Callithrix jacchus: one gene and its partners. The protein of the gene in region 1 interacts with the protein of each later gene in a pairwise test. Links are inferred from orthologs where the notes say so. Each region holds a gene or a part of one and is shown on either strand. Other genes may lie near its edges.

Region 1 (3,500 bases):
TTTTACTTTATTTTAACATAATTACAGTATTATCTAGGAAGCTTTTTAAAAATAGATTCCCAGATCTTATATCTGAATCAGAATCTTAGGGTTATTCTTAGGCATATGTAAAATTCTTGCAATTCTAACACAGTCAGTCATGCAAGAGTACATTGTTCTGAGAATATGTAGTTTTCTCTTAAGTCAGTTCCTTATATAATGTGAAAGTCCTTTCAATTCTCTTTCTCTGTTTACTTTGGATTATCCTGCTACTGATGTCTCGTACTGTAGTTTTGGGGAATATCACGAGAATGTATGGAGGGGAAACTATGTCAACCATTTTGAAAAGAAGGCCCAAATGAATAAGCCAGTCCTTTTTGGGGGGGGGGGAAGCCCACATTATTCTATTTGGTAATATTTAGGCTTAATAATCTACAGTCTCATTTACCAGAGTCACTTAAACCAATCTGAAACAGGGGTCAGCAAACTTTCTGTGAAGGGCCAGGTAGTAACTATTTTAGACATTGTAGACCATGCAGTCTCTGTTACAGCTGTGCAATTCTGCCACTGTAGCTTGTAAGTAGCTATAAGTAATACAGGTAAACAAGGCAGGGATGGTGGCTCGCACCTCTGGTCTCAGTTTCTTGGGAACATGGCTTGAGCCCAGGAGTTCAAGGCTGCAGTGAGCTATGATCACACCACTCACTGCATTCTAGCCTGGGTGACAGAGCAAGGCCGTTTCTCAATAAATAAATAATAGGTAGACAAATAAGTGGAGCTGTTTTCAAATAAAACTTGATAAAAGCATCTGGCTCACTGGCTGTCTGCCAACTCTTGGTCCAAAGGATGATAATGAAAAGAAACAGGAGATGTTTTTTTTTGCAATCCCACATACCTCATTTGGTAAGATTACTACTCTTGATAAAGGAAACTGTATTTTCGATCTCTTGCTCCTTGAGGTTCTAGAATTTTTGTTCCTACTCCTGAAATAATTAGTATAAACCTAGCACAGGGGAGCAAGTAAGATTTCATAGCTACTTCTCAAGTTTTAAGAAATCAGTGATCCGGTTTTTGAGTTTTTACTGTTTCTTCTTTTTGTAACTTATTAGCAGAAATAGCGTTTATGAATTATGAATTTTGATGTCTCTAACTTCCATTACAGCTGGTAATTGAGAGCTATTCATATTTGCCTATAAAAATATATATTATTTTTTAATAGAACCATACTTTGTTTTTATATGTTTTTTTCTCTTAAAGACTCAGAAGTGTATAATAATTGCCTGCTTATGAGTTAAACTAGTGGTAGGGAATAGTTTTTTCTTGCTTTTTTTTGAAGGAGAGTCTAAGGCGCGGAAAGGGTGGATGATGCAGGTAGACTCAAAAGTCAGGCTATGATTTAGGAGGTACTTAAGCATAGGCCATTTGACCATTTTTGGTCCTAAATGAGTTTTTTTTTTCTATAATTTGTTCAAACTCAGATTTAGTTGCTGATTGTGGGGTTTATATCCTTAGCTAAAGCCTAGCATCCTTCTCTACCCTAGGGAGGAGAGTGACCTTTTAGAATTCTTGGGTCACAGTTTATTCTAGGGATGACCTACTCCTTCTTACAGCTCCCTGGGGACAAAGAGTTTGTATCCTGGCAGCAGGATTTGGAGGACTCCGTAAAGCCCACACAGCAGGCCCGGCCCACTGTTATCCGCTGGTCTGAAGGAGGCAAGGAGGTCTTCATCTCTGGGTCCTTCAACAATTGGAGCACCAAGATTCCACTGATTAAGAGGTGAAGACAAGTGTCTTGGTTGAATCTAAGGGTCCAGGAATAGTGACCTAATTTCTTTTCTCAGAAGAGAAACGCCACTGGACTACTTTTCCCCACTGCTAAGGACTCTCTCTAGAACATGCCCTTTCTGTGGCCACTTAGTATATCTGTGGGATTTTTTTAAACTTCATAGTGAGTCAGAGATGTTTTACCCCTTCGAATATGATTGCCTCAGAGGGATTCATAATAGCTTTGTGGCTCCATTCATTAGGGCTGTGCTTGTGGGAAGTCTTCTGTAACTGGCTGAGGCTTGTTGCCCTGACTTCTGCACTAAAGCAAAACACATTTTGAAGTTCTAGCTAGTCATGTTATTTGTTGCTCCCACAGCAATAATGAATGGTCTAACTGGTTGTCAGAATGGCCCATTGTATGGTAGGTCATTTTCCAGAAAAGGTTCACGGAAATAGAGAAAGGATACCTTGAGGCACTGTGTCCTGAACCTACCTATCTTCTTTGCACTGGCTAGGAGCTTGTTCTGCTGAAGCAACGTAGTTATGCTAGGGTGCACCATTCCAGAGGATTCATGCTTTTATTATTCTTTTCCAGATACTGGTTAAGAACTAACGTTGTTGGGAGGAGCTGGTAAATACACGTCCAAGATGATACAAAAGAGGAGAATGGGTTTATACATTGTTTTTCACACCAGGGGATACAGTGGCTTAGGAATCTGGGAGATCCTTCATGTGATACTGTGATTGCCACTTGTTTTTTATATTTGGTCTTCTGAAAGGAACTCGGCCTGTTTGCTTTTCTTTTTCTTCATAGCCATAATGACTTTGTTGCCATCCTGGACCTCCCTGAGGGAGAACACCAATACAAGTTCTTTGTGGATGGACAGTGGGTTCATGATCCATCAGAGGTAAGGCCTTGATCTCCAAGGGTAACCACTGACTTAGCAGCCCCATTTTAGCTGTCACTTCTGTCAAGACTGATGGGCAGCTGCTCCCCTACACTGGAGGATTTCTCTCTTGATAAAATATGGAGGTGCTGAGTCTAATCACATGTAAATTTTAGGATAAAAGAGGAAGGTTGGATGGAAAAGATGGATTTGAAAGAGAGATTCAGTATTTTTTTCTTTTCCCTGTTTCAGCCTGTGGTTACCAGTCAGCTCGGCACAATTAACAATTTGATCCATGTCAAGAAATCGGATTTTGAGGTGTTCGATGCTTTAAAGCTAGACTCTATGGAAAGTTCTGAGGCATCTTGTAGAGGTAATTTTGTAGTATTTACTCTTTTTTTGCTGTGTCTTTCTTGCACCTTCCCAAAAGTTGTTTCTGTATGTATATATATATAGAAAGAGAGAGACAGAGAAAGAAGAAGAGAGTGAGCCAGGGTGGGGCGGGGGGTGAAGGGGAGAGGGGGAAAGAGACATTGAGATTTCTCTTGTAAGCTTAGGTCTCTTCTTTGCTGCAGACACCCACACACACGCACATGCTAACAAAAGTCTCATGGTGTAATGTTTACCGTATCACATGTGATACACTCCATTTGCTACATTATCTTTTTTTTTTTTGAGACGGAGTTTCGCTCTTGTTACCCAGGATGGAATGCAATGGTGCGATCTCGGCTCACCGCAACCTCCGCCTCCTGGGTTCAGCCAGTTCTCCTGCCTCAGCCTCCTGAGTAGCTGGGATTACAGGCACGCACCACCATGCCCAGCTAACTTTTTGTATTTTTAATAGAAATGGGGTTTCACCATGGTGAC
Region 2 (3,500 bases), on another chromosome or scaffold:
GAGATCACCTCACTCTACTCCAGCCTGGGCAACAGAGTGAGGCTCCATCTCAAAAACAAACAAACACACACCAAATCCCAGTTCAGGCAATCTTCCTGCTGAAGCTTCGGGTCATCAGCCCCCAGAGGGGCTGCAGATAAACCAGTAGGCTTTCAGAACTGAGCATTTGCTGTTAGCCAGGCTAAGGCCCAGTAGGGGCTGTTGGCAGTCCATGCCAGGTGCATGTTGCAGCTGGCACAAGTGGCTGTGGCTGGAAGGCAGGAGACCTGGCTCCCTCTGGTGCTGCCAGCCTGCTGTGTGCTCAGGGACCAGCCCCTTCCCTCTCTGTGTGTCAGCTCCCACTCTGCTCCAATCAAGGTGACTGAGTGTGGGGAGGGAAGGCGATGCCCCTTAAGAGGGCTCCCTTGGAGGAGTGGACAGAACCCTGGCACCGTGATAGCAGTTACTGATGTTTGCTAGTTATGGAAGGCGGGTCAGCATTAGGCACTGGGAATTAGCCATGTGGTCAACCAGGCCTCAGGTCTTTGGATGGACTTGACCTCTGTGACCCCTTCAGCCTGGCCCTGGGTTCCCCAGTCCTCTCCTGAGTCCAGTGTCCTCTAGTTTTTGCTCAGGCCAGGCTGGCCAGCCCGGCCCCCATTGCTGCAGAGTGGTCACCAACAGAGCCCCTCCTGGGCTCCGGGCTTGTCATCCGCCTCCTTCCATTCTCCTCGCCGCCGTCTGCCAAGCAGGGCTTACTGGTGTTGGGGAAGTGCTGAGGGTGTTTTCCCTGTAGATGAGGTCCAGAGAGGCTATGGGGTTTGCTCATGGTTACGCAACTAGTCGATGCTAGCATTGGGACAAGAGCCGGGGTCTGCAGAGTGCAGGGACAAAGCCTTGAGTGCCAGCCCTGAGGGGAGGGAGGCAGATGCCAGGGCCAGGCAGCTCCTGACAGGATTGCCCCCCGCAGGTGGTACTGGCCATGCCCTATGATACACCGGTGCCTGGCTATCGCAACAATGTCGTCAACACCATGCGCCTCTGGTCTGCCAAGGCTCCCAATGACTTCAACCTCAAGGACTGTGAGTTCATCCGCTGGTAGCAGCCCCAGCCTGCCCACCAGCCCTGCCCTGCCCAGGCCTTACCCTCTCCCCACTCTCGTCTCTCAGTCAACGTCGGTGGCTACATCCAGGCTGTGCTGGACCGGAACCTGGCGGAGAACATCTCTCGTGTCCTATACCCCAACGATAATGTGCGTCAGTCTCTGGGTGGTGTGGGGTGCTGAAAGCCTGAGTCCTGGGAGCAGGGGTTAGGAAGAACTGGGGAGAGACACTTGCTGGTGCCCTACTCACACCCAGGGCATACTGCTGGCCTTGTGCATCCTGTGCCCCCATCTTAAGCCTTTTGAGCACAAGGACACCTGAGTCCTGAGGGAAGTGGGTTAGCCAAGGGCACTTTGGAGGAGCTGTCCCAAGGCGACACCCACGATACTCTCGGTTCTTGTGCCCTCTTCCTGACACTGTCTCTTGCCACTACTTCTTGGTAGAGGAAAATTCCCTGGGACCCAGAAAGGGGTCTTGGCTCAGGGCTCAGGGCTCAGGGCTCAGGGCTCAGGGCTCAGGGCTCAGGGGTCCTGGTATGGGTGGGAGTCCCCTCTGGCCACACCCACCGCAGCTTTAGGCCACGCCCCTGCCACCTTGACTCACGCTGCCTCGCGCTGTTCCCAGTTCTTTGAGGGGAAGGAGCTGCGGCTGAAGCAGGAGTATTTCGTGGTAGCCGCCACCCTCCAGGACATCATCCGTCGCTTCAAGTCCTCCAAGTTCGGCTGCCGCGATCCCGTGCGCACGAACTTTGATGCCTTTCCGGACAAGGTACTATGCGCGTAGAGGGCGCCTCTGTGCCGGACAGTGTGTGCCGGGCCTCTCCCTCCAGCCTCAGTCGGACTGCCCCATGTAATAGATAAAGGATTGGAGGCTGGGAGGGTGGGAGGGTCATTTGCTCAGGTCAATCCACAGGCTCATAACCTCGGCTTCCCTCCTCCTGCCCGGCTCCCCCTACCCCATTCCTCCCACCCCCATGAGCACCTGCTTGCTCTGCCCTCAGCCCAGTCACAGAACCGTGCTGGGCTCTCTGGGGGGCTCCGAAGTGGCAAAGGACAGTGACCATAGCATGGTATGTGGTTTGGAGCTCAGACTGACTTCTCTGCCTATCCCAGGTGGCCATTCAGCTCAATGACACCCACCCCTCCCTGGCCATCCCCGAACTGATGAGGATCCTGGTGGACCTGGAGCGGCTGGATTGGGACAAGGTGGGCTTCAGGACCCCTCTGCCTCATTTGACACTCTCCACTTCAGCGTTCCCTTCCCAGTTTGGGGACATGGGAGGATATGAGTGGAGTGAACAGACTGGAGCTTGAGGCCAGAGGGACGGTCCTAAACCTGGCACTGTGGTGGGGGGGCCTGCTGGGCTGCATAGGGTGTGGGGAGAGCCACTAGGCTGAGGTCGGTGTCCTGACTGCCCACCCCGTGTGCCAGGCGTGGGATGTGACAGTGAGGACGTGTGCCTACACCAACCATACGGTGCTGCCCGAGGCCCTGGAGCGCTGGCCGGTGCACCTCTTGGAGACGCTGCTACCACGGCACCTCCAGATCATCTACGAGATCAACCAGCGCTTCCTCAACGTAAGTTGGGAGGCTTGGGGACGATGCGGGGACGAGGGGGGACACCCAGTCTGGGCCTGGGAGTAGGGGTGCCCAGCCAGGGCCCTGAGACTATGGGGCAGTGAGGGCTCTGGGCAGAGCTCTGGGGGTGTGGGGCTGGGGACTGGGGACTGGGGTTCCTGGATCTGGTCCTAGCTCTGGGCTCTCTGGGCACAGCGGGTGGCGGCCACATTTCCAGGGGACATAGACCGGCTGCGGCGCATGTCGCTGGTGGAGGAGGGCGCGGTGAAGCGCATCAACATGGCACACCTGTGCATCGCGGGTTCACATGCTGTCAATGGCGTGGCGCGCATCCACTCGGAGATCCTCAAGAAGACCATGTGAGCCCTGCTCTCCAGACCCCGCCCGTCTCTAAGCCCCACCTAATCCACGCCTCTGTCTAACAGAGACCCCGCCCCTCACTGCCCTGCCTGACCACTCATGGTCTCTAGCCCTTCATGGTCTCTGGCCCCGGGCGGCATTCACAGGTGGCGTCATTCTTACAAGCACGGCAGCCCCTACCAGTGCCGCCCTGTCCTGGGATGCCCCCTCTTACACACAGCATCCCCCACCTTCCCCAGGTCCACATTCCCCACCCCAGGCCCCTTTCAGCAAGACAGGGTAGGGGCCCCAGGGCAGAGGCTTTCATCCTACAGGGGTGAGTAGCGACCCTTGTCCAACCTCATCCTGCAGCTTCAAAGACTTCTATGAGTTGGAGCCTCATAAGTTCCAGAATAAGACCAATGGCATCACCCCTCGGCGCTGGCTGGTTCTGTGTAACCCTGGGCTGGCAGAGGTCATTGCTGAGGTGAGAGGGCATTG
Region 3 (3,970 bases), on another chromosome or scaffold:
GAAACCCCATCTCTACCAAAAAGCACACAAAAACTAGCTGGGCGTGGTTGCTCGAGCTTGTAGTCCCAGCTACACTGGCGGCTGCGGTGGGAGGATGGCTTGAGCCAGAGAGGCAGAGGTTGCAGTGAGCAGAGCCTGCCCTTCCCTGAATGTGTGGTAGGTTAGAAAGTCAAATGGAAAATAAATTACTTAAGAAAAAAAAAAAAAGGCACTCTGTGTTGTGCAGAGAAAGGGGCTTTTGAATATGGGCACAAGGAAGTGAGTGCCTGAGATCAGGAATCATCAACTCCCAGACCATCACAGCTGAAAGGGAGGAGAGATGATGATGATGATGATGATGAACAGCAGGAAACGTTTTTGAGAAAGTGCTGTGTACAAGTGTTTTTGTTTGTTTCGGCTTTCCCCTTTAAAATCATGTACTTTGCATTCTCTTATTTAATCCTTATAGCAATCCAGTGGGGGTGGGTATTAGCACTATTTTACAGATATAAAAACTAAGGTGTATAAAGTGTCCAAGAACACATAGTCAGGAGCCAGGACTCCCAGTTCCAAAGTTCGTGCTCTTAACTGCCTTTAGCTGCTGTGGTGACTGAGTCTAATCCAGTACAATTTTACAGGTGAGGCTCAGGGAGGGGAAATTGTCTTACCCAATTCTTAAAAAAAAAAAAAAAAAAGACTAGAATTTGTGCAAATCCGGGCGCAAATCTGGTCAAGGAATTATCACAGAAACTCAGATTTAAGAAACATTTATTAGATCCTTCCTTCCTTCAAAAAAAAAAGCAACAACAATAACAAAAAACAGTTATTAAGTACTTGCATCACTGCAATCCATCCTGAAAGCGAAGTACTGTAATACTGAACATGGGGAAACAGGCTAAGAGGGATAATTCCCCCCAAGATCAATTTAGCAAAATAGCTGCACTGCCGGGCTCACACATTCAGGTCCAGAGGCTTCCAGCAGTTTCATTAACCTAATCCCAGGTTCCTTCCTCCCGCACCTGTGGGTCTGAACCAACAACCCCTCCCCCCCCGCCATTTCCCTGGACTTGGAGCACGCTCAGAGCGGTGCATTCTGGGATTCGTGGTATCCCACGAAGAATGCCGACTCTGTGGGCCAATAGAATCCGAGTATAGACGACTGTATCCACCTCTGAGGTCTGCTGGTTGCTCAGGCCTCCCTCAAACTAGCCAATGAGAAGTGCATGGGTCCTGGTCGCCTAGGAAACCGCGTGACAACAAGATGGCGGCACCGCTGGACGGCTAGCGGTCCTGCGTGGTGAGTCTGGCCCAAGACCTTTCTGCTCCTGGAGTCTCCACGCAGGCTGGAGCCCAATCCCCGAGAGCCCCGAGGGCCCGCGAGCTCCGCGGCTCCCACAGGAGAGATTCGAGACCCTGCTTACCAAGACTACGCTTGGAGGCGGGAGTAGGCGACACGGCTGCCAGGGCTGGGTTAGGTTGTGATAGACGTCGCTCCCTGGGCGCGTCCTTGGGGGCATTAGGGAGTGACTGCTGGCAGCAGGTCGAACTGTGTCCCCGCCACAGCGCTGGGCCCTGGGGGTGACGGACAGGCCGAGGAGGTGTGAAGAAGGATGTTGTAAGTCAAGCACAGCACTGAGGTCGGTCCCAAAGATGTGGAGGCATGGTACACAGCTTTGCTCTTAGAGCCGGATCTGAAGTGGGTGACAAACCTACCTTAAGGAGCTTTCGGCCTGAGAGGAAGCCATAGTCCTGCCCTTGGAAGCCCCAAAGTGAAAGAGGTAGACATGTCCTCAGGGCTCCCCATTCTGAAGGAGAAAGAGACACAGCCCTGCCCTCAGGAGTCCCCCCAAACGGGTGGGGAAATGCAGCCTTTGCCCGCAGTGTCCCCCGTAATCAGGGAGAAGATTAACCTGGAGGCAGTGTCTGATTGGACTGGAGTGACACTGGAAGTAGGAAAGTCAGTTGAGGGCCATGTGACAGCCCCTAGAATGGGCAGTGAGAGTCCTACTAGGATGGCCGACAGTGGGCATGGAAAGGGGCAGCTGTGTGTGAGAGAGTTTAACCTGCAGGGTGTGGTGTAAGAGGGAAGGAAGGAGAGAAAAATGTTCTGGTTGGGTGACGGGGTACCATCAAGAAGGGAGAAGTGGGAGAAAGTGAGTTTGAGGAAAGATGTTGGGTTTGGTTTAGGAATTTTTTTCCCCTATGGCAGCTTTATTGAGATATAATTCACCTACTATATACTTCACTCCTTTACAATGTAAATTTCAATCGTTTTTGGTATATTGCAGTATATATTCCGTTTATATGAAATGTGCAGAATGGGCAAGTCTATAGAACAGAAAGTAGATTTGTGGTTGCCTAAGGATGGCTGGGAAAGAGGGTGAGGGCTAGAGGGTAAGTGGGAGGTGACTGCTAAAGGATACAGGGTCTTTAAGACTGATGAAAATGTTCTCAAATTCTGGTGATAGTAGTACAGCTCTGTGAATATACTAAAAACTTAAATTTACACCATAAGAGGGTGAAATATGTGAATTATATCTCAAATGAAAAAGTTTGTATACTGTATAATTCCTTTTATATAACTTTTTTCAAGTAAGAAAATTATGGAGATGGAAAATAGCATTCTGGTTGCCAGTGGTTAGGGCTGGGGGAGGGGTGCAGGATGGGTGTGACTGTAAAGAGGGCCACAAGGGAGATCTTGGTGGGTCTAGAATAGTTCTGTATCTTGATTGCAGTGGTAGTTACCCATGTGACTTGACCTATGTGATTTAATCTGCCCATGCGATCAAACAGCATAGACCTGTACATACAAACTGTATAAAAAATGTCAGTGTCTACGGCCATACCACCCTGAACGCACTTGATCTTGTCTAAAAAATGTCAGTTCCTGATTTTGATATTGCACTGTAGTTATAAAATGTAACTACTGAGGAGAGCTGGGTGAAGAATACAAAGATCTTTCCTAATTTCCTGTGAATCTATAATAATTTTCAAATAAAAAGCTAAAATATAAGTGAAAAACAAACTGAAGGGGGGAAAAAAAGAGTTAGCTGGCCAAGGGAAGGGTGCAGGTAGGAGTGGGGAGTTGAGGCAGTGGGGACACATGTGCATTTGAGGCATTGCCAGCAGTTCAGGTGGCTCAAGTGTGGGAGGTGGCAAGATGGGAGATGAGCCTGGGCAGCACAGTGAGACTCGTTTCCAAAACCTCCCTAGTAGAGGTCCTTTAGTTCTAGATATTAGTGACTTAATCTGCTTCATTTACTGAATAGAGTAGTAGCCTTCAGTGATGTCCCTCAAGTGCACTCTTTCCAGAAGGAAGAGGGAAGGAAAGGAAACTTAACATTTATGAGTGCCTTTTATGTGCCAGCAATGGCAAAAACTCAGAGCAGCCCCAGCTCACATTTTTCAGTGCTTTCTTTGAGCTTGGTGCTGGGCTGGACGTTCTCTGTTCTCTCTGAATCTGCTCAGAACCCTGCCTGCGTCTGTACTATTACTACACTATTTTACACTAAAAGAAACTGAAGATGGATTGCTCCAGTGAGTGGCAGAACTTGGTGTCCTAATCTTGGTGTGAATCCTGCCTGTGGGTTGCCCTCTCTGGCTCTGAGATGTTGGGAGTGGCACATGGTTTCTGGTGGGAAGGAAGGAGACACTTGGGCTTTGTGCCACCCAGCTCACAGATGGATGGACAGCCTCCTGGGTAGTAGTGTTCCCAGGCTGTAAGTTTGAGGAAGTCCCAGGCTTCTGACTCATTTCTGCATCCCATCCCATCCCATCCCATCCCATCCTCACTGCCCTTTCCCAAGCACCATCAGACCAAAGGTCTCTCAGGTCAGAGTGGAGAGCCGTATTCCCAGAAGAGCAGTCAGATAACAGAAACTTCCGGAAACCTCTGTCGGGGCAGTGGAAGAGGCAAAGGGTACTTTTGCCTACACAGTGCTTCCCATTAGGAAGAAGAGCCAGGGAAGAGGCAACTTCAGGCTACTCCCTG
Region 4 (3,500 bases), on another chromosome or scaffold:
GTCAGGTAATCCCATGCTGGAGGTGTAGTCCAAATGGTTATGATGGGGCAGCCTTCATTCCCTCTCTTCTTTATCCTATTAATGGAGAAATATTAGAAAAATTGGGAGGGAGAAGACCCAAGGCATTTGGGGAGCTGTAAGAGTGAACACGGTGGATTTCCAGGTTTTGGATACACCCCAAGCTCCTGATCATGCCACAGCCCCATGCCAGCTGACTTAAGGTTTTTTGCCCATCTCAGGGCATTGGGTGACCGAACTCTCTGTGACCCTTCCAGAGACTGGAACCAACAGACCTTTGACTATCTCCTGCGCCACGTCCATTCTCCCAACGCTGAAAAAATGGGCCTGTTCCTAATCTCGGGCTACAACCTCTTCCATAAAGCCATCCCGGTGGGTGAGCAGTTCCGGACCACGCAGGATGAGCACACAGGGCTGGGATGGCGAGGGTGGGTGCAGCGCAGCCTTAATCACAGATGAGGGCGGGGTGCTTTGGGTCTTGTAGGCAACAGACTCCTGGGTTCAAAACAGGTTTGATTTAAATTCTATTTTTACTTTGACAAATTGTCTTTGTTTCAAATTTTGCTGTTAAATTGGCAGAGGACAAAGAATCTTCTGGTGTCCGTGGAAAGCAGCCTGTGATTAGCATGGTTGAAATGCACACATGTTCTGCAGCGCGGGCACTGGCTGCTGAAGCCAAAAGCTTTCATGTGCCCCTGAAGGTCCCAGGACTTTTTATCAAGATGTAATAAAATACTCATCATAGCAAAAACTGCCAAAGCATTTATTATGTGCCAGGCCCAATCCTAACTAATTGACAGCTAGCGACTCATTTAATTCTCTCAATAACAGGGAGATAAGTCCTGTCCTTAGCCTCACTTAATAGATGAGAAAACAGAGGCTCCAAGAAATGGCATAACTTGCCCAAGGCCACAGAGTTTGCCAGTGGCAGAGCTGGGATTTGAACCCAGGCGATCTGTGACCACATGGTGCCCAATGTGCTAACAGGAACATCACAGCCCTGGGAGGCTTTGCTCAGGCTGCTTGGAGAGAGGGTAGTCTGGCTCTGTGCCCAGAGCCCCGTGCCAGCTCTCAAGGTTCATTCAACCTTTAGCACTGCACTAAGGGCTTTATCCATATTATCTTCTTTAACTTTCAGAGGACCAAGAGATTTTTTTTTTTTGAGACAAGGTCTCACTGTGCTGCCCAGGCTGGAGTGTAATGGTGCAATCTCGGCTCACTGCAACTTCCGCCTCCCAGGTTCAAGTGATTCTCCTGCCTCAGCCTCCCAAGTAGCTGGGATTACAGGCATGCACCACCATGCCCAGCTAATTTTTTGTATTTTTAGTAGATACCGGGTTTCACCATGTTGGCCAGAATGGTCTTGATCCCTTGACCTCGTTATCCACCTCCCTCAGCCTCCCAAAGTGCTGGGATTACAAGTGTGCACCACTGTGCCTGCCTAATTTTTGTATTTTTAATAGAGAGGGGCCAGGCTCGTGTTAAACTCCTAACTTCAAATGATCTGCCTGCCTTGGCCTCCCAAAGTGCTGGGATTATAGGTGCAAGCCACTGTGCCTGGCCAAGAGTGATAATAATCATGATACAGGCAAGAAAACTGAGTCTACCTCAGCCTCCTGAGTATCTGGGATTACAGGTATGCACCACCCGTCTTGCTAATTTTTTTTTTTTTTTTTAACTAGAGATGGTGTTTCACCGTGTTGGCCAGGCTGGACTGGAGCTCCTGACCTCAGGTGATCCACCTGTTTCAGGTTCCCAGAGTGCTGGGATTAACAGGTGTGAGCCACTGCATCTGGCCCGTTATCATTATTATTGACTTCCATCCCTCCTGGCACCCCGTTCTCTTTCCTCTTAGGATCCTTCCTGGAAGGATACAATTCTAGGATTTCGGAAGCTGACCCCCAGAGAGCTGGATATATTTCCAGATTACAGGTGAGTTTATTGTCACAGGCAAAGGGGGCTGGAGCCCCACAATTTAGACAGACCTGTCCAGAGGCAGCAGAGGATAGAGGCACCAGATTTCCTGTCCCACCCAGGCCCTGGTACCTTGGTCTCCTGGTCCTTGGTCCAGCTCCTTCAGAGAGGCTATCCACTCAAATTGGTCTTTGGGCTGGGAGAATAGAGGGTATGAAATCACAGATCTCAAGCCCAGAAGCTCCATATCACCATCTTGTTTTGTAGATGAAGATACTGAGTTTAAAGAGGCTAAGTGATGGCCAGGTGCGGTGGCTCACACCTGTAATCCCAGCACTTTGGGAGGCCAAGGCAGATGGCTCATGAGATCAGGAGATCTAGACCATCCTGGCCAACATGGTGAAACCCCATGTCTACAAAAATACAAAAATTAGCTGGGTGTGGTTGTGCGTGCCTATAATCCCAGCTACTCAGGAGGCTGAGTCAGGAGGATCACTTGAATCAGGGAGTCAGAGATGGTGCCACTGCACTCCAGCCTGGTGACAGAGTGAGACTATCTCAAAAAAAAAAAAAAAAAAAAAAAGAGGCTAAGTGACTTGCTAAGATCAAACAGCCAAGTGGCCAAACTGGGATTCCAACCCAGTCTGTATGACCCCACATCCCTCCTTTCTTTTCTTTACAGCCTGATGCCTCTCTGGTCTTCTCCTCACCATGCCTGAATCCCCTCTAAAATGCACATCCAATCTCCCTTTGCATTCTCCAATGCCAGGGGTGGCCTTGTCTGATAGAAAAATTGTCCTTGCATTGAGCTCAAAATCACTTCCCCCCTTGAACTTCAGCTTGTGGTCCTGGCATTACCCTTTGGGCCCACAGAACAACACTGCTCCCACCTCCATTTCACAGCCTTCAAATAGAGCTCTGATTTTTACCTTTATTTCCACCTTTTGCCTGCTGTGACTCTAGCTATGGCTGGTTCCACACAAGCCTAATTCTGGAGGGAAAGAACTATCTACAGTGGCTGAATGAAAGGTGAGATTTTAAGCTTCACTTTGAGGGAGGCACCTCTCAGAGACCAAGCTGTAGTAGAAGATGGTTCATGGGAATCCCCCTGCGTGGACCAATCCCAAGGTTTGAAGAAAACCCTTAGGCCTGGTGTGGGAGCTGTCCTTGGTCCTGGTCACCACTGGGTACAGAGAAAGTGGTTCCTGAGCCTAGCTGGGCATCAGAACCACCTGGGCAGCTGTTCACACATGATGTCTATTAACAACCTCTTTCAGATCCCTAATGTTTGTGTAATGGTTTTAAATGTATTCTTTTAAGATTTCCAGATATGTTTACATCATCTGCAAAATATAAGCTGCCTTTTATTTTTATCTCCTCTCTTTTTTTTTCTTTTCTAACTGCTTTGGCCAATACCTCTACAACAATGTTACTCATACAGATGATAGCGGATGTCCTCGCCTTGTTTCTAATGTTAATAGGAATCTTGTCCTGTTCTAAATTAGTGAACACTCACTTGAGAGATACATTGGTATTTACAGTCATATACAGTCATATTAAGGGAGATT
Region 5 (3,500 bases), on another chromosome or scaffold:
TGGCGGGCACAGAGCAGCAGTCCCTTTGCCAACCCTGCTGGGGGTAGCACAGCCAAGGTCCTCAAGGGTGGAAAGAACCAACCACGGAAAGGAGGGGATAGAAAGGGAACGGTCATACAAGCCTAAGAATGCCCGTAGAGCATGGGGTGAAAGGAAGGGCAGAGCTCAGGGAGGGGACACTGGATGCCTACCCGAGCGCTTGATGGGCACCTTTGTGTAGTCCTTAAGCATCAAGTACTTGACCAACTTATTTGCCTGGGAGGGAAAAAGGAAATCATTAAACTTATAAGGTCCTTACAAAAAAACTCGTTGAATTATAGATGAGAGGATGACAAAGAAAAGAGCAAGAGAGGGGAGAAGTGACTGGAGAGTTACAGCTCTTACTCTTTCTTGAAGAAGGGCCACATCTCGGGGTTGTGCAGCACCCAGGTTCTGTGAGGCACGCGAGTTGGGGGAAGGGCGCAGGTTAGGTGAGGGGCGCAGGTTCTGCCAGTCAGGTGGAATTGGCCAGTCAGCAGGGATCCAGTCAGGTGGTAGCGGCCAGTCAGTGGGAAGTGGCCAATCAGGTGGCAGTGGCCAGTCAGGTGGTAGCGGCCAGTCAGGAGGACCTTGCCAGTCTGGAGGGCCCTGCCAGCCCGGTGGGGTCTGCCAACCAGGTGGGGTCTGCCATCCAGGTGGATTCTGCCAGGCCAGTGGATTCGGCCAGACAACAGGGCCGGGCCAGACAATGGGGTTTGGCCAGATCACCGGGTTCTGCCAGATTACTGGGTTTGGCCAGATGACTGGGTTCTGCCAAGCAACTGGGTTCTGCCAGGCTGGTGGGGTCTGCCTAGCTGGGGGGCTCTGACGTGCTGGTGGGGTCTGTCTGGCTGTCTGGTTTTGCCAGCCTGAGGGGTTCTGCCAAGCCAATGGGGTCTGCCAGAGCACATTGGGGGGTGCGCCAGGTGGGTTCTGAGTAGTCACTGGAACTGGTGCAGACCTCCAGGTCCCTGCAGCCAGTGGAGCCCACCTCTGATCCCCACTGCCGTTCTCTTCAACATTCAAGTTATTAATCTGCACCATCAGAGAGAAGAAAAGTTCAGAATCACCAGTAGGTTCTCTGTCCTCACCTTATCTATTCCAGGAAAGCCCTCTAAACCCTCACCTGTAGTGACAGCCTGACCCACTAGCCATTGGTCACCCTGAGTCCTGGGCTTGTCTTTCACTGTCTTCCAGGCAGGAGTTTCATCTCTGAACCAGGCCAGGAGCAACCCAAAGATGGGGCCTGAGGCTTCTCCTCTTCCTATGTCCACCACTGGCTCTGCCTGTACCACCCTGAACAAATCACTCAAGTCACTTCACCTCTTGGCACTTAAGTTTCCTTCTCTGTAAAATTGGGACTATGATCCCGAGCTGGTAGGAGGTGCCTTTAAGATTTAATGAGACAACCTGTGGGAATGTGCTTAGCTCAAGGCTTAACACATGGTGGATACTAACAAAATGTAAACTGAATTACATACAAGTTGTATATATTATTTGTGTCCATATATTATCTCTGATCAGTTTGTGAACACCTGTAGGACAGGAATAAACATTCTCTTCAAATGCCCTACAGCCTAGCTGAATACAGTTACATACATTGTTTTGTTCAGGACAAATGAATACCCTCAGAGAAGAAAGGAGAGAACCCCAAAGCAAATTGAAGCTAGCAGGGATCTCACCTTGCGGGTCCTCTTGCCCCGAATTATTGTCCGGGATTCCAGATTCTGAGCCTGGGAACCATCTGCTGATGTCTGTGCAGTCGCACCGTCAGGTTCAGAGATAACTGGATCGGTCTCTATGTCAGCGTGGGAAGTGGCCATTTTGGCCTGATTTACATTCTGGGTCTGGGTATCAGCTGTTGGGGCCTTAGTGGTATCATTCCAAGCCTTGAAGGGGGTCTTAGGCCTGTTGTTGGCCATGTTATTGGCATTGAGAGACTGAGAGAAATTGTAGGTGGCAGTTGGGCCCACTTTAGTAGTGGCATTCTGGGCCTTAAAAGCCATCTCAGACTTGTTAGCAGCTAACTCACCAGTGGCTGCTGCCTGGGAAAAATCATAGGCAGCATTTGGGCCCTTTGGGGTGGCATTTTGGGACTTAAAGGCTGCCTTGGGCTGCGTGTTGGGCACCTCCTTAGCATTATGAGCCTGAGAGAAATCATAGACACCATTTGGGCCTTTTGTGGTGGCATTCTGGACGTTAAAGGCTGACTTAGGCCTAGCTGCGGCTGCTGAAACCTGAATGTCAGCCATCTCATTGGCAGTTGGGGGCTGTGAACTCTGGGGACTAGCAGCTGTGGTGGCCTGGTTAGTAGGTGGAGCCTCTGAGATCTGGATGGCCTCCATCAAGGTCTGCATAAGCAAGGCGCTGTCTTCTACGGAGGCCTCAGCCTGCAAACACAGGGGGGAAGAAATTAAACCTCTGGGCCTCTGATGCAGGAGGTGGGGTGGGAATAGGGAGGCCGGCTGGCAGCGCAGCAGGGGAGCTGCAGGCGGTCGGTGGGTACAAAAACAGGAGGGTTGAGGCAGAGATCTAGGGGGACCGCGAGGGGCTAAGGGGGGCGGGGCAGGTGCAAAACGTGTGGCAGGGGTGAAGTAGAGTAGGGGAAAAATGAGGGGTGGGGCTGTGTGCGGAGAGTGGGCACGAATGGGAGCAGGGGACGCTGTAAAGAGGCGTGCAGTAGCAGCTCAGGAGGGGAGGCGGATCGCGGGGTTGAGAATAAGGGGGGTCGCACAGAGTGGGGAATGCAGAGGGAGGGAGGGTGGAGGCAGGAGGCTAGGGGGAGGGGGTGACAGACTGCTCAACAAGCGTCAGGACTGTGGAAAAAAAATGGTTCCTTACCCACCCCGCATTCTCTGGGCAGACTGCCCTAACTACTAACAGGGTCTCCCCTCTCTCTGAGCAGGGACTGATGGCTGAAAAGAGACGCCCCTCCCCCCTTCGATAAACGATGGGAATTCGAAAAGACCACGGAGTCTAGTCACTAAAGAGGGCCAAACCAGATCCCGGCGTTTGCGAGACCAAAGAGGCCCGCGGGGAGGGGTGACTGTCGGCTGGGGAAATGGTGGGGTGGGGAGCGGAGATCTCACCTGGAAGCCGAGGAGGCCCGCACCACAGTCCATTTTCTGAGCCATGGCTCCTGTCCCTCTGGCAAGAGCGGAGCCTGGGGGCTGTGGGAGAGGGGCAGGGCGTTACACTACAGAGGGCAAATACGAAGGACCTAATTGGGAGGGGGGTGACTGTGGTCTGATTGTGCGGGCGGATAAGGTGAATGTGAGGAGGTATGGACCGGAGCGGGAAAAGTGAATGGGCGTCCAGATGGAGGTTTTAAACCCCGAGAAGCTAATGACAGGGCAAAGCTTCAAATCCGGGTTCGGGAAGCAGATGAGTTTTGAATTCGGGGGAGGGGGGCGGTTGGATTGGGATTCGCATATGGGAAGTTGCATGGAGGTTTTGAGTCCGGAGGAATGATCTAACAGTAC
Region 6 (4,209 bases), on another chromosome or scaffold:
ATGTAATAAGGAGAAAAGATATATTTAATAGAATTCTCTGGTAGAAGAGTTCAGCATGTGGCTGGAAGCGTACTTTGATATGTGGCCTTTTGTGGGTGGTAAGATGACTGCACCTCCCTTCTTCCCCACTCCCCTCTAAGGGTATATCACATTACCACATTATAAAGAAGTTGGATTCAAGTAAGTGCAGGGACTTCTTCTTGATGAGGATATATAAATCTAGACCAGAACAAAATGATCACAATAGTGAAGAGAGACATGCCCTTTCTACCCTTTAACACTCAGCCATTCCTTTGAACAGACATTGAATGATTATTAGGGAGTATATAGCATAGAAAAGACGCCAAATTAATAATCTGATCTGGTGAGACAAAGTAGCACCCTATTTCAGAATTCTTTCCGTTGTAAAAAACAAAAAGAAGCTCTCTCTCAAAAAACAAAATCAAAAAACTTGCGGGGTGCGGGGGCAGGGGAATGGAGGGAAGGACTTATGGAAGATCTGAAGTGCAGTACGGATGAAACGAGGGCTCGTGGGAAGAGGCAGTAGGTAGGAAGCTGATTAAACAGTCTTAAAAGTTACATTAAGTGTTTTAAAGTCTTTTTGTGGGTGAGTTCTACCCAATTCTTCAAGGAAATTGAACCCTGGACTCTGTCCGGCGATTTTTCTGACCATCTTGACTCAGCATCTTCCCTCATTGTTTATCAGCACGTTAGGGGGGCCATCAAGCTTCCTTCTGTCTACTTGCTCTGCCTTGGCGTTTCACTTCTTCCTAGAGATCAGATTTCCCTGACTTTTTAGCATGGCCCTCTGAGCGCTGTTATTTCACTTTTCCCCCCTCCCCCGCCCCCCAACTCTCCCAATTCTGCAGTCCGTGACCTTCAGGTGCCCTTCAAAGTCAGGAAAAACTCGGCAAGGTGGGTACTTGTAGGGCATTAGTAATTCAAAGAGGTGTCAAACAACCTCACCATTAGATGGGAACAATAGCTTACTTAACACCCATATTTAGATTGTTCCGCCACAACAACTCTGGGGAACGGTTTTATTTGCGGCGGTTTTCTCCATCCACAGCCACCGAGTGAAGGGCAGCGTAAGAATCTTCCCGAATGCTCCAGTCACGCGTCCCGGCCGCCTCTTCTTCCTCGCCGCCACTTCCCCAGGCCAGGCCCGCGGATAACCCCTTAGTCGCGAGCGAGCTCTAGCCAGTCGGCAGGGACCTAGCCGGGGAGGGAAGGCTAGACGCGGAGCTGAGCGGGGCCAGGCCGCGGGGCTGCAGGCCGGGGGGTGGGGGGGGGCGCCGTTGGGCGCCGTCGCCGAGCGGACGGAAGGCGCGGGCGGAAGGCGGTCGCACTAGTAGGCAGGGGGGCACCGCTGGGGCGGGGCTTCGGCGCGTCGGGGGCGGGGCCCCCGTGCCGGTCACGTGACGGCCCCGGCTGTAGCGGCGGCGGCCGCGGCGTCTTAAGCGGCGCCCAGTGCAGGATGGTGCTGGAGGCTGAGTCGGCCGTGGTGGCGGCGGCGTCGTTGGCGGCAGTGGGAGTGGGTGCGGCGGCAGCGGCGGCGGCGCCCGCGGGTGGTATAAAATGGCGGATTTCGAAGAGTTGAGGGTAAGCGGGGGCGCGGGAGTGGAGAGCGGAGGCCGCGGGGGAGGGGATGGGAGGGGAGGTGGGGAAGCCGCCAAGTCGCCGGCCGCCGCCTGCTCCTGCCTCAGGGGCCGGTTAGCGGAGCCCGGAGTCCCGGCCCGCTGACGAACGGGCTCCTAGCGCGCGGGGGAGGGGAGCGGGCCGGCTGAGGGCGCGCGGGCGGCGCGGGGGCGGCGGGCCTGGGCCGCTGCGAGCCGGCCCCTGAGTGCTGCCGGCGGTCCGCACACCTGGCGCTGGGGGCCGGGGCGCCCTCCGGGAGGGGCACGTGGGGTCCCGACATCCCTGTTCGCGGTGAGGGCCGAGGTGGAAAGCAGCGTTTGATCTCCCACCTTCGCTGGGGTGTACGTGTCTGTGGCGATTCACAAGTCTGCACGCTACTCACTTGGTGAAGGACTGTTTTCTGAAAGGTGAAGTTGCTTTAGGAATCTCTCCTCCTCTTGTGGCTGATGCTACGTTTAGTCAGGTCTGTCACGAGAAAAGGCCCCTTCCTCCCACCCATGCCTCCTAACAGCTTCGAGAGAATCCTGCCTTCTATTATCGGCCTTAAACCTCGATATTTTTTAGTGCTTTAGTAAGAAATCTGTAAAGTCCATGTTGTGAGGTTTGTGCACCCCTTTTACTCTTGAGGAAAAAAATTTTTTTTTCTTAGTAGCCTTGAAACAAGATCATAACTTTATTGTTGATACCTTTGTATAGTAGAGGTTTGGAATAGGGGGTAGAACAGAAGAGACTTTTTTATCCCCAGACTCATAACCTTCAAAGTCTTTGACTAAAAACTAAGTGTGACGAACGAGCCGGGTTTATTTTGTATGTATCACTGAATTACTGGCGACATCAATGAGATGTTTACGGACGGAAACCGTGATTTTTTAAAAAAGGCATTTTAAGGTAGAGACGAGTGTGAACTTGAAATTAAATTTACTGCCATCCGTTTGTGTAACACTTATGGTGTTAGAGTGTCTTAAATAAGGAGGAGGAATCCGATAAAAGGTTCAGTTTGTATGTTTATTATTGTTTTCCTTGAAGGACGGGATGGGGGAAGGATATTGAAGTTACCTGCTTGGTAGACGAGCAAAAGAACGTATGTTCTGCTCTTAACGGAGATTGTTAGAGTTTGCAGAGTGCTTGCCTTATTCCCTCCTGCTGTTTCAAAAATAATTATTTAGTTCCCGGTAAAGACATATACTAGTTTATGCAGAGAACCATGGTCGTAGGTGAAGGGTGTTCATACTTGGTAAGTGTAAGGGTTTCAGTGGCTCAGAGCCCCAGCTGTAGAGCTTTTAACACCTGTGGAGCTTTTGAAACCAGGAGGCCTAAGCTTCACCTTTGTAAATTCCTGCGCTAGATTTAGGATGGGTTGAGAGGATGAATTCTGAAGTTATATTTATTTTTACCTGCAATCTAGTTTTAATTTTTGTGTAGTAACAGATGCATACAAGTTTTCTAAGGTGTTTTTTTTTTTTTTTTTTTAATGAAAACTTTCCAGGATTTATATTAGACTCTTGGGAATGTTGTTGATCAAAGCTTAATGTAAAGCGGAGAATTTACTCGCTGTTACAGCAGAAAAAGCAGTCAGTGCTCAGGTTGGAGTGCAACTGGCAAGTGGTAGAAACCAAAGAAGCTCTTTTTCTCATTCTTTCTGCCTTCCCCTCTCTCTGTTTTGTTTTGTGGATCAGCTTCAACATCTCTTCCTGTAAATCAGCTAGCTGTCTTTACTTTTTGCATTTGTTAGAAGATGACCCCTCCCCCACAATTCATATGAAGTGCCCAACAAAGACTAACTGGGGAGAATTTTTAGAGGAGAGAAGGGTACAGGCTGGGCACAAGTAGTAAGCATTATCCACTTTTCTACTTAACTGCTCTGTGCAGATCCATGTTACCCTACACTTGATGAACAAACGGTAATGATGATGATGGTATATACCCATTTTCATAGTGGTTATTCCATGCCTGGTTCTGGTCTAAGCCTTTTTTTCTATACTTATTTAATTCTCACAATTTTTTGAAGAAATTGAAGCACGGAGAGGCTAACCTGACCTAAATTACACAGCTTGAGACTTGAAAAGCTGAGATTTTTAATCTTAGACATGTAGCATTAGAGTCTTTGCTTTTCAAAGCCCAGGCTACACTGCTTTGTTCTGGTACCTTGGGGTCTAGGTGGAACTCCTAGCCATCATCCTGCGATTGATCCTGAATTAACTGATCATCTCCTGTGTGACATTATAATAGAGGAAGAAAAACAGACTAAAAAACTGATTAGAAAGAAAGAAAAGGGGAAGAAATCATCTTGGATTCTCAAAATGTTAGGTAAATTATAGGACCAGGAAAAATTATGGGCATTAGTTTGTTGGCTAACTTCTTGGCAGTAGAGGAAATGGTCAGCCGATCTGGATGCCACATATTTGGCTGCTGATATGCCACAGGGAGAATTTCCATAATGCTTCAGGGCCAGTTATTTTGGACAAGTATAACCAGAGCAGTTCACATCCTGGCTAGTGCTGCATCTAGACTGAAGGTAGGGAATTTTGTGAAAGGTCATCCTCAGTGTGGTTTGGTGACCCTTGTGCCTTT
Region 7 (4,291 bases), on another chromosome or scaffold:
TTTACTTAAATGTCAATTCTCTGTGAAGTTCTCCTAGACTATCACATTTAAAACTGCAACATCCATCTCCCAGCATTCTGTATATTCCTTCCCTGCCTTTTTCTCCGTAGAGTTAATTATTGTCTGATATACCATAAAATTTAATTACTTATCAGTGTTTCTCCCCACTATTACATATGCTTAATAAAGCCAGAGGTTTTATCTGTTCACCACTGATGTCTCCAAACATAGAACAGCACCTAGTACTAAACAAATATTTGTTGAGTGAATACAGTGGTCCCATACTGTGTGCCAAGCACTAAGTTAAGCAATTTGCTTGCATTATCTGAGGAAATCCTGCTTGTAAGGTAGATACCATTTTCCTTTTAAAAATAGGTAGGTTCTCTATTTTTAAAAGGATAAAACTGTGAAACTCAGAGAGGTTAAGTGACTTTCCCAAAGCTATAGAAGGATTAGCTAAATGGGGTTGGGAGTGCCAGGTTATGTTGGATTTTGTGTAGGAGCACATTTCCTGAATAAGGAGCAGCCTGGAGTAAAGGCTGTGGTAGGTATTGGGGGCACTGGGTGGAGAGGAGGAACACAACGGGTGACCTGGTTTCTTGGGGCGAGATACTGATTTCATTGGCATAAATATTTGGAGTTTTACAAAGAAAACATTTTAAGTCTGCTGCAGCTGCCATGGATTTGAGACTGCAAGAGTTCTGGCCCCTTGAGGCACCGGATTTCAGACAGAAGCCATATCTAGCAGAAAGAGACATCTGAGAGTAGTGGATTGACATGAAAATAGGAGTTTATTATCTACATGGTTCTTCTCTCTCTCTCCCCTACCATTTTTCATAACCTACCTTCATCTTTCTTTAATTCGTGCATATTTGTAAAACATTCTATTAACTCAGCCTGCCATCCACTACAGTGCAATCTTAGGAAGGCTGAGTAAGAATTTTTGTCTTTTATTCACTGCTGTATCCCTGTGCCTACACAGTACCAGGCACACAGTAGACACTTAACAGATATTTGTGAAATTAATCTTTGCCCTCGGAAACAAAGGCCTCCTCTTGATGGAGGGAGTAAGGAGAGTAAAGGAAAGTCCTTCTCATTGGCATCCTGGGCCTGTGCCATGTGGTAAACCTCTGCGAGGGAATTTGGGCAGAAGGAGGCTGCAGATGCATGTTGGAAGCAGGAAGATCGGTGAAAGGGAGGAGGCCGCAGTGTAAGGACTGAATTCCAGAGAGCGGAACTTTGCCCGGCTTCTTCAGGTCTCTATCTGACTTTGAGGGGAGCTGATCAGAAACCGCTGGAGGAGTGTTCCTGTCCCCAAAAGCATAATATTGATGCTATGGGAACAAGATGGACAGAATCAAGAAAGATGAGACAGAAAGGCCTGGGAGCTTGGGGAGAGGGTGAACAAGTTGCTGTGAAAGTTCGAAATGGCCCTTCATTTGAATGCAAATGCTATGTAAAAGCCTGAAGCCCCTTGACGTCAGCCCAGCTATTGGTGGCCTATCTATACAGGGCTACCAGTCACCTGGAAACGTAGGATGGAGTAGTCTGAGAGGTCAGAGGAGCTTGCGGCACGACTACATATTGATAAATTTATTATCTGCTTCTTCTTTATTATCTCAAAATCGAGTTGAGGCCTTACAGGGACCTCAGGATGGTTTAGGGAGCGCCTTCTACGCAAGCCACGATGTATGGAAGCTGCCCTTTGGAGAAAGAAGCAGGCATGTACCCGGGTACTCTCAGGAGCCCTGGGGGCAGCGGCACAGCTGAGGCAGGCGGCATGGGGGACGGTGGGAGTCTAATGCCAGCCTCCAATTTCCCTGCGGCATCGGCTTTCTCACACTACATGGGGTATCCTCATATGTCCAGCATAGATCCTCATGGGTCAACTCTGGGAGCCTGGGGCTCACCCTACAGTACCCCGCGAGAAGACTGGAGCGTGTATCCTGGGCCGTCTAGTACAATGGGAACAGTGCCGGTGAACGACCTGACCTCGAGCCCAACCGCTTTCTGCTCTCCCGACTACAGCAATTTGGCCCCTTCGGGCGGGGGAACTAGCTGCAGCAGTCTACCAGGCTCGGCTGGCGGGTCACTTGCACCCACAGACGCAGGCGCCACCAACGCCAGTTCCCCCAGCAGGAGCCACCACAGCCCCTATGCATGGATGCGCAAGACAGTGCAGGTGACGGGTGAGTAATCAATTGCAATGCCCATACACTTTTCCTTCCTTCCCTTCGCTATTTTGCTTGCTCGGCCTGCCATCCTGCTTCTCAGGCCTCTCCTAAGAGAGCTTAGCTGAAGAGAACCCTATGTGGCTGGCTGGCCTATTAGGTATCGCTCGTGTGTTCGCCTGGGCTCAAAACTCACTTATGGAGTGCAGCGAGTGCTTTTCGCCTTTCGCTGCTCCATGAAGAAAGCGAGTGAGTGGACAATGGGTATGTTGGGCCACAAGGATCGGGATCCAACCCTGTAGTTGCCCACATGGGAAAACAGATGCATGGGAAAGCTCAACAGGTGAATGAAGCCAGAGGACAGCTTGATGGTTCCACTTCCAAACCCTTACCTATCTGGGCGGGCTGTCTTCCCCCTCCCCTCCCTTAAAGCTGGTGATGCTCAATATAGGTTCACAGTGCTTGGCTGGCAACAGACCCTCCAGTTTAGCCACGAAGTCCCCGATGGCAAAGCAGCCTCGTCACCCTGGTCTCTCAGGGAAGTTCCAGCTTCTTTCCTACAAATTGGCAGAGGCAAATTGGCCTCAAATCCATTGCCAGCTTACAACGTCCTTTCTTCTAACCCAAGTGTTGAGGCAGGTGAGAAGGCTACAACACTGACCTGGCACATAATACGGTACCTAACCCTCACACCCGCCGGACACGCAAACGAATCAGCTCTAGCACTAATGAAAGGCTAAAGCCCTCATAACTATCCAGGCGGGCGTCTTTTAGGCGTAGGGGCTGAATGCAAGTCTGCGGCAGCGCGCGGGAAGGCACAACTATCGTGATCGCAGCCTAACCAATAAACCAGACTGCTGGGAGCCGGGAGCCAGGGCGGGGGAAGTGGTCCTTTGCTTTTATCTTAGACCCGGGCGGAGGGAGGAATGTTTGTTTTCAGCTGTCGTTCTTTTATCACATTCCTATTATTCCAATCCTCGCTCTCTGTGTTTAGAGAAAATTAGTAAAATTCGACTCTAGTACTTTCATCCCTCTGGGGAGGAAATGGCATTTCAATAGCATTTGTCCACAATGATTATGCTTCTGTTCTCGGTTCTGCACTTTTTGTTTCCTCCAAAAAGCAAAAGCAGGAGGGTGGGAAGTTACCAATTTTTACCATTAGGAGAACTTTTAGCAAGGAAAAGGAAGTTCTGTGTATTAGAACATCACTAGAGTAGCAATCCCAAGGTAAAAGCAGAGTTCAAATACTTGGCTTTAAAGCATTTGCAAGAGTAAATCCGCGTTTTTTAAAAACTATGAGTGAGTCTGTGACTAAGTAGGATAGAAAAAGATGTTAGGGTGGGGCACTCCCAGAGTTTTTATTGCATCTCATCTCGGGGTTGTAATTAACATCCACTCACTAAACCCTAACAATCATCAAAAGACATAAAAGCTAGAAAAGTAGTTTCTGGCAGTCTAGGATTATGTTTTGAAACACATCAAGAGGAAAGTTACTGGCATGGAGTTTGCAAGAGAGAACAAGAGAGTAAATGGATGAGATAAAAGAGATTACCTCTTGAATTTTCTGTTTATGTGGGAAAATATAACAGTTTTATCTGCTTAAAGATCTTCCATTTACATTTGCTTTTATTAGCCTGAGTCTCTCTCTTGGGTAATCCTAATGCCAGAAAATGTTTTGAAAGAAGCTCCTTAGTCTCTTGCATCTTCATCGTTAGTTAAACCCTCAAACCTGACTTTACAATGCCCCTTCACAAGATTTTCTCTCCAATTTCTATGAGAAGTTTAAAATGGACTGATATTGGAACCTTTTCGATTCTTGGCAGTCTATTCTGTAAATAAGGCTTCATTAAATTAAAACTTTGTTTACTTTTAATGTCTTATAAGTGTAAATTAGCCCTTTTGCTCTATTCTTATAGTCTAAGGTGCATATTTAGCAACAAATTAAGAATATAATGAAAAACTTTGGTTATCTCCCTAGAAAAATGCACCGACCTGGCACATAATAGGATACCTAACCCTCACACCCACCGGGCACGCAAACGAGTCAGTTCCAGCACTAATAAAAGGCTAAAGCCCTCATAACTATCTAGGCAGGCGTCTCTCAAGCATAGGGGCTGAAT

The links.
Region 2: the proteins of PRKAB2 (region 1) and PYGM interact in binary tests that used the Homo sapiens proteins (3 or more experiments, as listed by UniProt). The link is inferred for Callithrix jacchus from reciprocal best matches to the Homo sapiens genes PRKAB2 and PYGM.
Region 3: the proteins of PRKAB2 (region 1) and UBXN11 interact in binary tests that used the Homo sapiens proteins (3 or more experiments, as listed by UniProt). The link is inferred for Callithrix jacchus from reciprocal best matches to the Homo sapiens genes PRKAB2 and UBXN11.
Region 4: the proteins of PRKAB2 (region 1) and DAO interact in binary tests that used the Homo sapiens proteins (3 or more experiments, as listed by UniProt). The link is inferred for Callithrix jacchus from reciprocal best matches to the Homo sapiens genes PRKAB2 and DAO.
Region 5: the proteins of PRKAB2 (region 1) and melanoma-associated antigen D1 interact in binary tests that used the Homo sapiens proteins (3 or more experiments, as listed by UniProt). The link is inferred for Callithrix jacchus from reciprocal best matches to the Homo sapiens genes PRKAB2 and MAGED1.
Region 6: the proteins of PRKAB2 (region 1) and PIAS2 interact in binary tests that used the Homo sapiens proteins (3 or more experiments, as listed by UniProt). The link is inferred for Callithrix jacchus from reciprocal best matches to the Homo sapiens genes PRKAB2 and PIAS2.
Region 7: the proteins of PRKAB2 (region 1) and CDX4 interact in binary tests that used the Homo sapiens proteins (3 or more experiments, as listed by UniProt). The link is inferred for Callithrix jacchus from reciprocal best matches to the Homo sapiens genes PRKAB2 and CDX4.

The regions. Positions count from the first base shown.
Region 1 is NC_133519.1:7,286,801-7,290,300, reverse strand, and holds part of PRKAB2 (5'-AMP-activated protein kinase subunit beta-2), read left to right. Parts: intron 1-1,589; coding exon 1,590-1,756; intron 1,757-2,560; coding exon 2,561-2,654; intron 2,655-2,885; coding exon 2,886-3,006; intron 3,007-3,500. UniProt on the Homo sapiens protein: Non-catalytic subunit of AMP-activated protein kinase (AMPK), an energy sensor protein kinase that plays a key role in regulating cellular energy metabolism.
Region 2 is NC_133511.1:121,823,622-121,827,121, reverse strand, and holds part of PYGM (glycogen phosphorylase, muscle form), read left to right. Parts: intron 1-949; coding exon 950-1,061; intron 1,062-1,148; coding exon 1,149-1,231; intron 1,232-1,706; coding exon 1,707-1,850; intron 1,851-2,194; coding exon 2,195-2,287; intron 2,288-2,513; coding exon 2,514-2,660; intron 2,661-2,855; coding exon 2,856-3,019; intron 3,020-3,371; coding exon 3,372-3,486; intron 3,487-3,500. UniProt on the Homo sapiens protein: Allosteric enzyme that catalyzes the rate-limiting step in glycogen catabolism, the phosphorolytic cleavage of glycogen to produce glucose-1-phosphate, and plays a central role in maintaining cellular and organismal glucose homeostasis.
Region 3 is NC_133508.1:62,948,664-62,952,633, reverse strand, and holds the start of UBXN11 (UBX domain-containing protein 11), read left to right. Parts: upstream 1-1,170; 5' UTR 1,171-1,202; coding exon 1,203-1,276; exon of another isoform or gene 1,277-1,616; intron 1,617-3,970. UniProt on the Homo sapiens protein: May be involved in the reorganization of actin cytoskeleton mediated by RND1, RND2 and RND3. Promotes RHOA activation mediated by GNA12 and GNA13.
Region 4 is NC_133510.1:111,779,859-111,783,358, forward strand, and holds part of DAO (D-amino-acid oxidase), read left to right. Parts: intron 1-239; coding exon 240-390; intron 391-1,873; coding exon 1,874-1,950; intron 1,951-2,895; coding exon 2,896-2,961; intron 2,962-3,500. UniProt on the Homo sapiens protein: Catalyzes the oxidative deamination of D-amino acids with broad substrate specificity. Required to catabolize D-amino acids synthesized endogenously, of gastrointestinal bacterial origin or obtained from the diet, and to use these as nutrients.
Region 5 is NC_133524.1:52,170,999-52,174,498, reverse strand, and holds part of melanoma-associated antigen D1, read right to left. Parts: intron 3,189-3,500; 5' UTR 3,153-3,188; coding exon 3,108-3,152; intron 2,409-3,107; coding exon 1,701-2,408; intron 1,054-1,700; coding exon 385-1,053; intron 256-384; coding exon 192-255; intron 1-191. UniProt on the Homo sapiens protein: Involved in the apoptotic response after nerve growth factor (NGF) binding in neuronal cells. Inhibits cell cycle progression, and facilitates NGFR-mediated apoptosis. May act as a regulator of the function of DLX family members.
Region 6 is NC_133514.1:90,007,396-90,011,604, reverse strand, and holds the start of PIAS2 (E3 SUMO-protein ligase PIAS2), read left to right. Parts: upstream 1-1,409; 5' UTR 1,410-1,578; coding exon 1,579-1,602; intron 1,603-1,841; exon of another isoform or gene 1,842-2,045; intron 2,046-4,209. UniProt on the Homo sapiens protein: Functions as an E3-type small ubiquitin-like modifier (SUMO) ligase, stabilizing the interaction between UBE2I and the substrate, and as a SUMO-tethering factor.
Region 7 is NC_133524.1:70,844,604-70,848,894, forward strand, and holds the start of CDX4 (homeobox protein CDX-4), read left to right. Parts: upstream 1-1,491; 5' UTR 1,492-1,687; coding exon 1,688-2,189; intron 2,190-4,291.